Linked DNA regions of Arabidopsis thaliana. The protein of the gene in region 1 interacts with the protein of each later gene in a biochemical or structural test. Each region holds a gene or a part of one and is shown in the gene's direction. Other genes may lie near its edges. The genes, in order: EIL1 and FRU.

Region 1 (5,034 bases):
GCAAATGATTTCATCATAATTTAATGTGTTATACTGTTATGGCATTTTCCCGTGGATTTGATTCAATCTTTAGTTACTCCAATGACATACCACGCATATGCGTAATGTGTATTTATGGTTAAAATTACATCACATGAGAGTATCGGACAATTTACAAAAATGTATACGAGGTAGTGTATAAGACGGTGTATGGGATAATTCATATGGTTCAGTACAAAATAATATACTAGGCTGTGTGCGTGAAGGGATGTATGAGATGGTATAAACAGAGGTGTATAAGATGATGTACAAGGCCGTGTACAAGATAATGTGAGATTATGTAAAAGATAGTATACAAGATGGTGTGTTTAACTCTGTACAAGTGGTGTTTAATACTGTGTAAGGGATGGTATATGAGACAATGTATAAATCAATGTACAAGATGAGACGAGCTGTGAAATTTATGTATTTACTCTAAGATCCATGAGAGTTTCTTCTTCATGTCTCAGGTGAGGAGGTTGGCGAAAGGAAGGTTAGGAAAAGTGAAGATAAATTTGATTTTGTTACAAAAGTCAAAAACATTTGCCTATATAACTTAAATATGGAGCCCATTATCATTATTCGTAGTTAGTAGAGCTTGTTCACGTTTATGTTACGATCTTGTATTGATAGAAGAATGTTTTCACTTGTCTTCGACTGAATCAGTGTTGCCTTCTCTCAGGTTATATCTTTCGTCTATGCTTTCGTCAAAGCAAAAAATCCCTAAATTAGATGAATTTTATGCCTTGACTCAAGGCATAAATTCATCAAATGTGGTATATAGAGCGTATTTAGCTTCATATATACTATTGAGTTTCCAGAGTCGTACGAGCGCTATCAAGTATCAGAAGCGAATAAAAATAAAATATCCTTACGAAAAAAAAAATCGTCTACAAAAAATAAACATCATTGTCATGTAAGAAAAAGAAAATTGACAAACTAAATATTAGTTCTTAAACAGTTGTTGACCCTTCCTCTCCACTAAATCGTTAACCAAGCTTTCAAAATCAATGTCTCTAACCAATTCTCTTTCGATTGATAATATAGCCAACTCACTCAATCTTTCTTGTGACATAGTCGACCGAAGATACGATTTGATCAACTTCAGCTTTGAAAAACTTCTTTAAGCAGATGCAACCGAAACTGGAATCGTCAACATTGTTCCTATAAAGCAATGGTACCTTCAATATGAGACAAAAATTATATATTAAATCTGCTTTGAAAGCAAAGTGAAATTTTTGTCTCCAATTATAAAGTAACATAACTATTCTAATGAGCTTTTGCTATTTGGATCTAATGTTATCATATTATTACCTCTACAACGTTCATCCTTTTCTAGCGCTTGTTGTTGTTCATCTTTTGCATGCGGATCATATATGCGTGTAATCTGGTCGTTGTCAAATTTTTATTAATTAGCATTTCAAGCCATTGCCATTGTCAACGAATATTCAGTATTTATTAGAAAAATCAACAGAAATTTAATATCTATTTAGTTTTGTTGAAATTTAAAGATATAAATCAATATTTACTATAAATTTAATTTTAGTAATATTTTTCCGATTTAGATTTTGTTATTCCCGTTTTTTTATATTGATCAGTTTTAGCGTTTTTTAGCGGTGAACAGTAGACTCAACTCGGATTGGACTAGACGGGCGATCCCGGTAGAACAGGTCCGAACGCCCGGTCTGGTTCCCAAACACTGCAATTACCGCATCTTGTGTTGTGGACCGGACCGACTATGACTGAATATTGCATTCATTTTGATCCTAAAAATGTCAATCAATGCTCATTTATTTATTATATATTTTGGAAAAAAGTGAGAAAAAACTGAAACGGTGCGACGTTATTAAATCTTTTAAATCCCCCCACCAAAGCATCTGCTTCTTCCTCTTGTCTCTCTCTCTCTCTCTCTCTCTTTCATCTTCAAACTCTACAAACCCAGAAACCACCACACAGTAATTAATGTCTCTTTCTTTCTTCCCATGTGATCTTTAACAGACTTTTCTTCTTATTCTCCATCTCTGAAGTTGTGGGGATTCATCAAGACTTCCTTATCTGTTTCTTTTATAAAACAAGAGAGAGATACCACTTTTGGTGTTCTTTATTTGCAACTCTTTCAGGCAAACACTCTTTGTCTCTTTTCTTATCTTATTATTGTTTCTATTTTTTGTTGATAATACTTTCGATTTTTTTTGGCTCTCTGTTCTTTCTAGATCGTTTGGTTTTATTGTCTATAATATTCATTTTGACAATCTATGTATTGATATGAGAACATTACTTCTTAGTCTCTTTAGTTTTTTTTTTTGTTTTTGACCCTTAAGCTTGATTTGTTGTTTTTAGCTTCTGGTGATTTGTTTGATCAAAGAAAGCTTATAAGTTTTTTTTTCTTTTTCAGGTTAAAGAAATCGATAGGCTCTGTTCTTGATTGTGGTGGAAGAGACATGATGATGTTTAACGAGATGGGAATGTATGGAAACATGGATTTCTTCTCTTCCTCCACATCTCTCGATGTGTGTCCATTACCACAAGCTGAACAAGAACCTGTAGTTGAAGATGTCGACTACACCGATGATGAGATGGATGTGGATGAGCTTGAGAAGAGGATGTGGAGAGACAAAATGCGTTTGAAACGTCTCAAGGAGCAACAGAGTAAGTGTAAAGAAGGCGTCGATGGTTCGAAACAGAGGCAGTCGCAAGAGCAAGCTAGGAGGAAGAAAATGTCTAGAGCCCAAGATGGGATCTTGAAGTATATGTTGAAGATGATGGAAGTTTGTAAAGCTCAAGGCTTTGTTTATGGTATTATTCCTGAGAAGGGTAAGCCTGTGACTGGTGCTTCGGATAATTTGAGGGAATGGTGGAAAGATAAGGTTAGGTTTGATCGTAATGGTCCAGCTGCTATTGCTAAGTATCAGTCAGAGAATAATATTTCTGGAGGGAGTAATGATTGTAACAGCTTGGTTGGTCCAACACCGCATACGCTTCAGGAGCTTCAGGACACGACTCTTGGTTCGCTTTTATCGGCTTTGATGCAACATTGTGATCCACCGCAGAGACGGTTTCCTTTGGAGAAAGGAGTTTCTCCACCTTGGTGGCCTAATGGGAATGAAGAGTGGTGGCCTCAGCTTGGTTTACCAAATGAGCAAGGTCCTCCTCCTTATAAGAAGCCTCATGATTTGAAGAAAGCTTGGAAAGTCGGTGTTTTAACTGCGGTGATCAAGCATATGTCGCCGGATATTGCGAAGATCCGTAAGCTTGTGAGGCAATCAAAATGCTTGCAGGATAAGATGACGGCGAAAGAGAGTGCTACTTGGCTTGCCATTATTAACCAAGAAGAGGTTGTGGCTCGGGAGCTTTATCCCGAGTCATGCCCTCCTCTTTCTTCTTCTTCATCATTAGGAAGCGGGTCGCTTCTCATTAATGATTGTAGCGAGTATGACGTTGAAGGTTTCGAGAAGGAACAACATGGTTTCGATGTGGAAGAGCGGAAACCAGAGATAGTGATGATGCATCCTCTAGCAAGCTTTGGGGTTGCTAAAATGCAACATTTTCCCATAAAGGAGGAGGTCGCCACCACGGTAAACTTAGAGTTCACGAGAAAGAGGAAGCAGAACAATGATATGAATGTTATGGTAATGGACAGATCAGCAGGTTACACTTGTGAGAATGGTCAGTGTCCTCACAGCAAAATGAATCTTGGATTTCAAGACAGGAGTTCAAGGGACAACCACCAGATGGTTTGTCCATATAGAGACAATCGTTTAGCGTATGGAGCATCCAAGTTTCATATGGGTGGAATGAAACTAGTAGTTCCTCAGCAACCAGTCCAACCGATCGACCTATCGGGCGTTGGAGTTCCGGAAAACGGGCAGAAGATGATCACCGAGCTTATGGCCATGTACGACAGAAATGTCCAAAGCAACCAAACGCCTCCTACTTTGATGGAAAACCAAAGCATGGTCATTGATGCAAAAGCAGCTCAGAATCAGCAGCTGAATTTCAACAGTGGCAATCAAATGTTTATGCAACAAGGGACGAACAACGGGGTTAACAATCGGTTCCAGATGGTGTTTGATTCGACACCATTCGATATGGCAGCATTCGATTACAGAGATGATTGGCAAACCGGAGCAATGGAAGGAATGGGGAAGCAGCAGCAGCAGCAGCAGCAGCAGCAAGATGTATCAATATGGTTCTGAATATTACACAATCTCTGTAACATTCATTCTTTCATAATAACTCTGTTACCTACTTACCTGACTTGGGTATGTATTCTATTGGCACCAAACACTCATCTATATTGTTGATGATGATGAAGCCATCTATTTTTTTTGTGTCTGAAAGTCATTTAACTCGCTTCATTGTTTTAATAATGTCACTATCCATTGAACATCATTCTCATGCTACAAGTTTGATTCTTTGAGTTCTATTTTTTAATCTTTGGGTTTAACCGTATAAGTTCAAGTAGCCAGCATAACAATCATGAAACAATATGGAACTCTTCTCTTTTTTCTCTTTTTCTTTTAAGTGTTAAGTCTGTCATTTTTGTTGGTTGTTCTCTAGTCAACTCAATTCAATAATCAATATCATAAGAAAAACACATGGCTTAGCCATATTTATAGGGTTATAAAAAGCATTTATCTTATAATATAAGTTATCTTCTTTGCTTTCATGTAGAAAGTATATTCTCTTATAATTTGTTTGGTCAAACACAATTGAATAATATAGTAACAGGTTGCCAACAATTGCATCAGTGTCGGCTACTGTGGCTTCTTCTTCACCACTGGCAAATTCTAATGTAACTTTTTTTATCCACATTGTAATCCAAAACGGATATTTATATAATAATAAGGTGAAAAAAGCCAAAAATGGTGAGAGTGTTTTTGGGAGGAAGAGAAGACAAACGTTGTTGTCTCCTTTATTTTGGAATTGGAGGACAGGCCATGTGATATGCGTTGTGAAACCCCACCACTCTTTTAGTCTCTTCATCGCCAAAACTGACTACATTCATGCACCCAT
Region 2 (4,205 bases), 460 kb from region 1:
TTAAAAGTTATCTGCTAGTTGACATGCATAAAGGTTAGAGGAAAAAGAAAAGGAAAAAAGAAAAAAGTTTGTCAAAATATTTTGCTTCATAAGTTTGTGACTTATTCAGAGTTATGTTTCTAAAGATGTGATAGGTACAGCAAAATTGTATTTGTTCCAAATGTCAATTAGTGAAGAAAAGAAAAAGAGTTGTCATATTTGTTGGAGTACTGAAAGATAATCATGTGGCAAAAAAAAAACGAAATAGGAAGAATTTCAGTAAAAATTATGCTAGCTTCACATGTATCAAATATATTTGAACCAAAGTATGCCATATTCATGAATTGTTTTTACAACAATTTTTATTTGTTTTAAACTCTAGAGGCTATATGTGAAAAAAAATTTTACAGCAAAAATAAGATTATATCAGAAACATTACAGACCGAAATTTACAGCCACGATCTAACCAAACATCTACTAAATTGACATAATAGCATTATTCAAATATTTATTTGGAAATTGGTTGATGTTTTTGAAAGTTGTGGAGTATCCCAAAAATCCAATGTTGCTCAAAAGTTCAGTTTCTCTAATAAATTCAACACCTAGATGGAATCTATAATTGGTTGACTTTTTTTTTTTTTTTTTTTTTACAGTTATATACCTGAAAAAATATTCCAACTTGAAATATTATAAAGAGTTGATTTTTGTCCTAACCGGCCAAGACTTTAATATTTTATACTGTCTTTCTTTGCTATCCTTTGTTTGTTTGTTGAGACAAGAACGAAAACCGTGCATTGAACAGGCTTCTTCATAATTTAATTGCGGTTTATCCTTAAATGATTTGAAAAATGGAAATGCATTTATCAAAAATAAAAGAAAATAATTGAAATGCTATTATATTCCAGAGTTGGTTTGTTATTTGAAAATTATGCTGGTTTAAGTTTATATTTGAAATTAATTTTGGCCGTTTTTCTACAAAACATATTTATCATATTGGAGTACTTTTTAAATACACTAACATAAAAATGTTGAGAAAAACTTTTGTTAAAATTCTAGCTTGTGACAACTAAACCAGTTGACATCTACAGTTGTAATAAGCCGATTGCAAATTAATTCCTAACATTTTAATAAACAAGAATATATGTGGATCTAAATTCAAAAATATAAACAGTACACTAACATTTGTACGTCTAATATCGTAGTAAACTTTTACTTATGAACACCTTTTTAATACGGTCTGATCGATTTATTTATTTATATAACCAAAACTCATATATATTCATAAACTAAATTATATAGTAACAGGATATATTATGAGCTTAATATACATGCTATATGCCTATATAAGGTCTTAATAACCAAAACTCATAATAATGTATTCATAAACTAAATTATATAGTAATATTTTTGGTATATTTTATAACTTTAAAAAACTCTAAATATTTGTGGTATTTTTGAAAATGGATAAAAATGATATTTTTGGAAAGTAGTATAATTTTAAAAAACTTCTCCCAATAAAGACATGACCAAAAATGTGTGTTATTTCTATATATATTTTTTTTTTTTTTTGATCAACATATACTCTTGTTTCTAATCTGCATTCCCTCCACCACAAAAAAAAATTCAAATGATAAAATATAAAGAAGAACAATGTGGAAATATAATTGTCATGCAACACGACAAATTAATCATTCGAGTAACATAATTTATACATATAATATACAGGTCATGCATGACATTACAAGACGTAACTGAATAAACTAATATCAACCAACTATCAAGAGTACATTTCTTTAAATTTGTTTTAATTGATTTCTTAACTTATTATGTTAATTAATACAGTTTATTTCATACTCACTCTATTATATAAACTCATTTTGTCTCTCTTTCGTTGTCAACAACTTTTCTTCATTGACAAAAACACACAAATGGAAGGAAGAGTCAACGCTCTGTCAAACATAAACGATCTCGAACTTCACAATTTCTTGGTCGATCCAAACTTCGATCAGTTCATAAACCTCATAAGAGGAGATCATCAAACCATTGACGAAAACCCAGTTCTTGATTTCGATCTTGGTCCATTACAAAACAGCCCCTGTTTCATAGACGAGAACCAGTTCATCCCAACACCTGTCGATGACCTCTTCGACGAATTGCCTGACTTAGACTCCAACGTTGCTGAATCATTCCGTAGCTTCGACGGTGATAGTGTTAGAGCCGGTGGTGAAGAAGATGAAGAAGATTACAACGACGGTGATGATTCTTCAGCCACTACTACGAATAATGATGGGACCCGTAAGACGAAGACTGATCGGTCTAGGACTTTGATCTCTGAGAGAAGAAGGAGAGGGCGTATGAAGGATAAGCTTTATGCATTGAGATCTCTTGTTCCCAATATTACTAAGGTAAGTCACAACATTTTCAAGATTTGGTAATGACTAATGAAACTGTAAATATTGATGAAGTATGTGTGTGTTGGCATTTAGATGGATAAAGCATCCATTGTTGGAGATGCAGTGTTGTATGTTCAAGAACTTCAGTCACAAGCGAAGAAACTCAAATCCGATATCGCGGGTCTTGAAGCTTCTTTAAACTCTACTGGAGGGTACCAAGAACATGCTCCTGATGCTCAAAAGACTCAACCTTTTCGCGGTATCAATCCTCCTGCTTCCAAAAAAATCATTCAGGTAATAACCTAAAAAAACCAATCAATCTTCTTGAAACATCAAAGTGTTTAAAGTTTGTATGTTTTGTTGTGTTAGATGGATGTTATACAAGTGGAGGAGAAAGGGTTTTATGTGAGATTGGTGTGTAACAAAGGAGAAGGTGTTGCTCCATCTCTTTACAAGTCTTTGGAGTCTCTTACAAGTTTCCAAGTGCAGAACTCTAACCTAAGCTCTCCTTCTCCGGACACATACCTCTTAACATATACCTTAGATGTAAATCAACTTGTGCCCTTTTACTTTGTTTTGTTTCCGAGTATACCGTTTACTTACCGAGTTTTCTTGTGTGGTGGAAACAGGGGACATGCTTCGAACAGAGCTTAAACTTGCCTAACCTGAAGCTGTGGATCACTGGATCACTTTTAAATCAAGGTTTTGAATTCATCAAGTCATTTACTTGATTCTATAACGCTTGCTCTAACGTGAGTCAAATCCGGTTCTGCACTATATTGATTGTGTACCTTTCTTACATGTTTCATAACTTCCAGGGCTCTAATTTCTATTCTAGTGATGATGTAACCGAGATTGTTGATTCTCTATTGAATAAACACCATGTTATATAGTAATTTAGCGACAAATTGTATGGTTAAATGAAGTAATATTTATGTTTTGTTTATAGTCTCAAGTCTTAAGTTTCTTTTGCTTTGATATATCACGTTTTGGTTCATTGGCTGTATTATTGCTTTGTTGTTGCAAGACCATTCACATCTTGATTCTATGTATTGTTCTCTGTTTGATTGGTAAAAGAATAAAGAATTTTAACCCCGAGAAAGCAGTACAGACGACCTATATGGATCGCCGACTCAACTCTAGGAACCTAATTTGTGCTTTGGATATTCATAACATGGTAAAACAAAAAGATTCTAATATTGTTGCTGTTGCAAGACCAAGACAGATGCCCTTGAAGGAAACTCCTTTGACGCTATAACATCTCCGAGGGCTCCAAGTTCCTCGAACTCTGTCCATTCATTTAATCCTTTTGTAACTGCGCTATTCATTCCGCTACTTCTTCCAACTATAAACAAATCATAATCATACGCTATTGATCTAAGTATCACTGAAGTCTCAGCCCCTTCTTTGACGCTTTTTTCTATACATATCCATGAATCATTTTCATTTGAATCCTCAGTCTTCATTATCTCTTTTATGTCATCGTAATCCAACTTCTGCACCGAGTCTTCGCTTTCCTCGGTAGTAAGTTGAGGTATGAGGTGTAAGATGGTTACGCTTGTCTGCTTGTTTCTCCTCATACGGTTGGTGAATGCTAAGGCTTCTTTATCGTCTTTCCCTCCCACAACTATTGCACACACCTGAAATACAAACCACGAGACCAGTTTAGAACTTGTTAAGATCACACATCGGAAGAAATGTGTAGGTACCAACACTAGTATAGAAAAAACATGGGCCAAATATACTAATCGTCGGTTTGTTTTGAGTTGGAAGCCAGACGACCCCAAAAATTAACCATGAGATCTCTTAATTACAAAAGAAAAAAAACAAGTA

The links.
Region 2: the proteins of EIL1 (region 1) and FRU form a complex in vitro, tested with the Arabidopsis thaliana proteins (one study listed by BioGRID).

Annotation. Positions count from the first base shown.
Region 1 is NC_003071.7:11,543,855-11,548,888, forward strand, and holds EIL1 (ETHYLENE-INSENSITIVE3-like 1), read left to right. Parts: upstream 1-1,801; 5' UTR 1,802-2,138; intron 2,139-2,413; 5' UTR 2,414-2,459; coding exon 2,460-4,214; 3' UTR 4,215-4,439; downstream 4,440-5,034. UniProt on the Arabidopsis thaliana protein: Probable transcription factor acting as a positive regulator in the ethylene response pathway. Could bind the primary ethylene response element present in the ETHYLENE-RESPONSE-FACTOR1 promoter.
Region 2 is NC_003071.7:12,002,806-12,007,010, forward strand, and holds FRU (FER-like regulator of iron uptake), read left to right. Parts: upstream 1-1,852; 5' UTR 1,853-1,907; coding exon 1,908-2,384; intron 2,385-2,465; coding exon 2,466-2,666; intron 2,667-2,741; coding exon 2,742-2,918; intron 2,919-3,001; coding exon 3,002-3,103; 3' UTR 3,104-3,190; coding exon of another isoform or gene 3,191-3,198; 3' UTR 3,199-3,471; downstream 3,472-4,205. Other genes in the region: ATCHX7 (Cation/hydrogen exchanger family protein), read right to left, coding at 3,566-4,012. UniProt on the Arabidopsis thaliana protein: Transcription factor. Essential protein involved in iron uptake responses. Regulates FRO2 at the level of mRNA accumulation and IRT1 at the level of protein accumulation. Confers enhanced iron mobilization responses at low iron supply.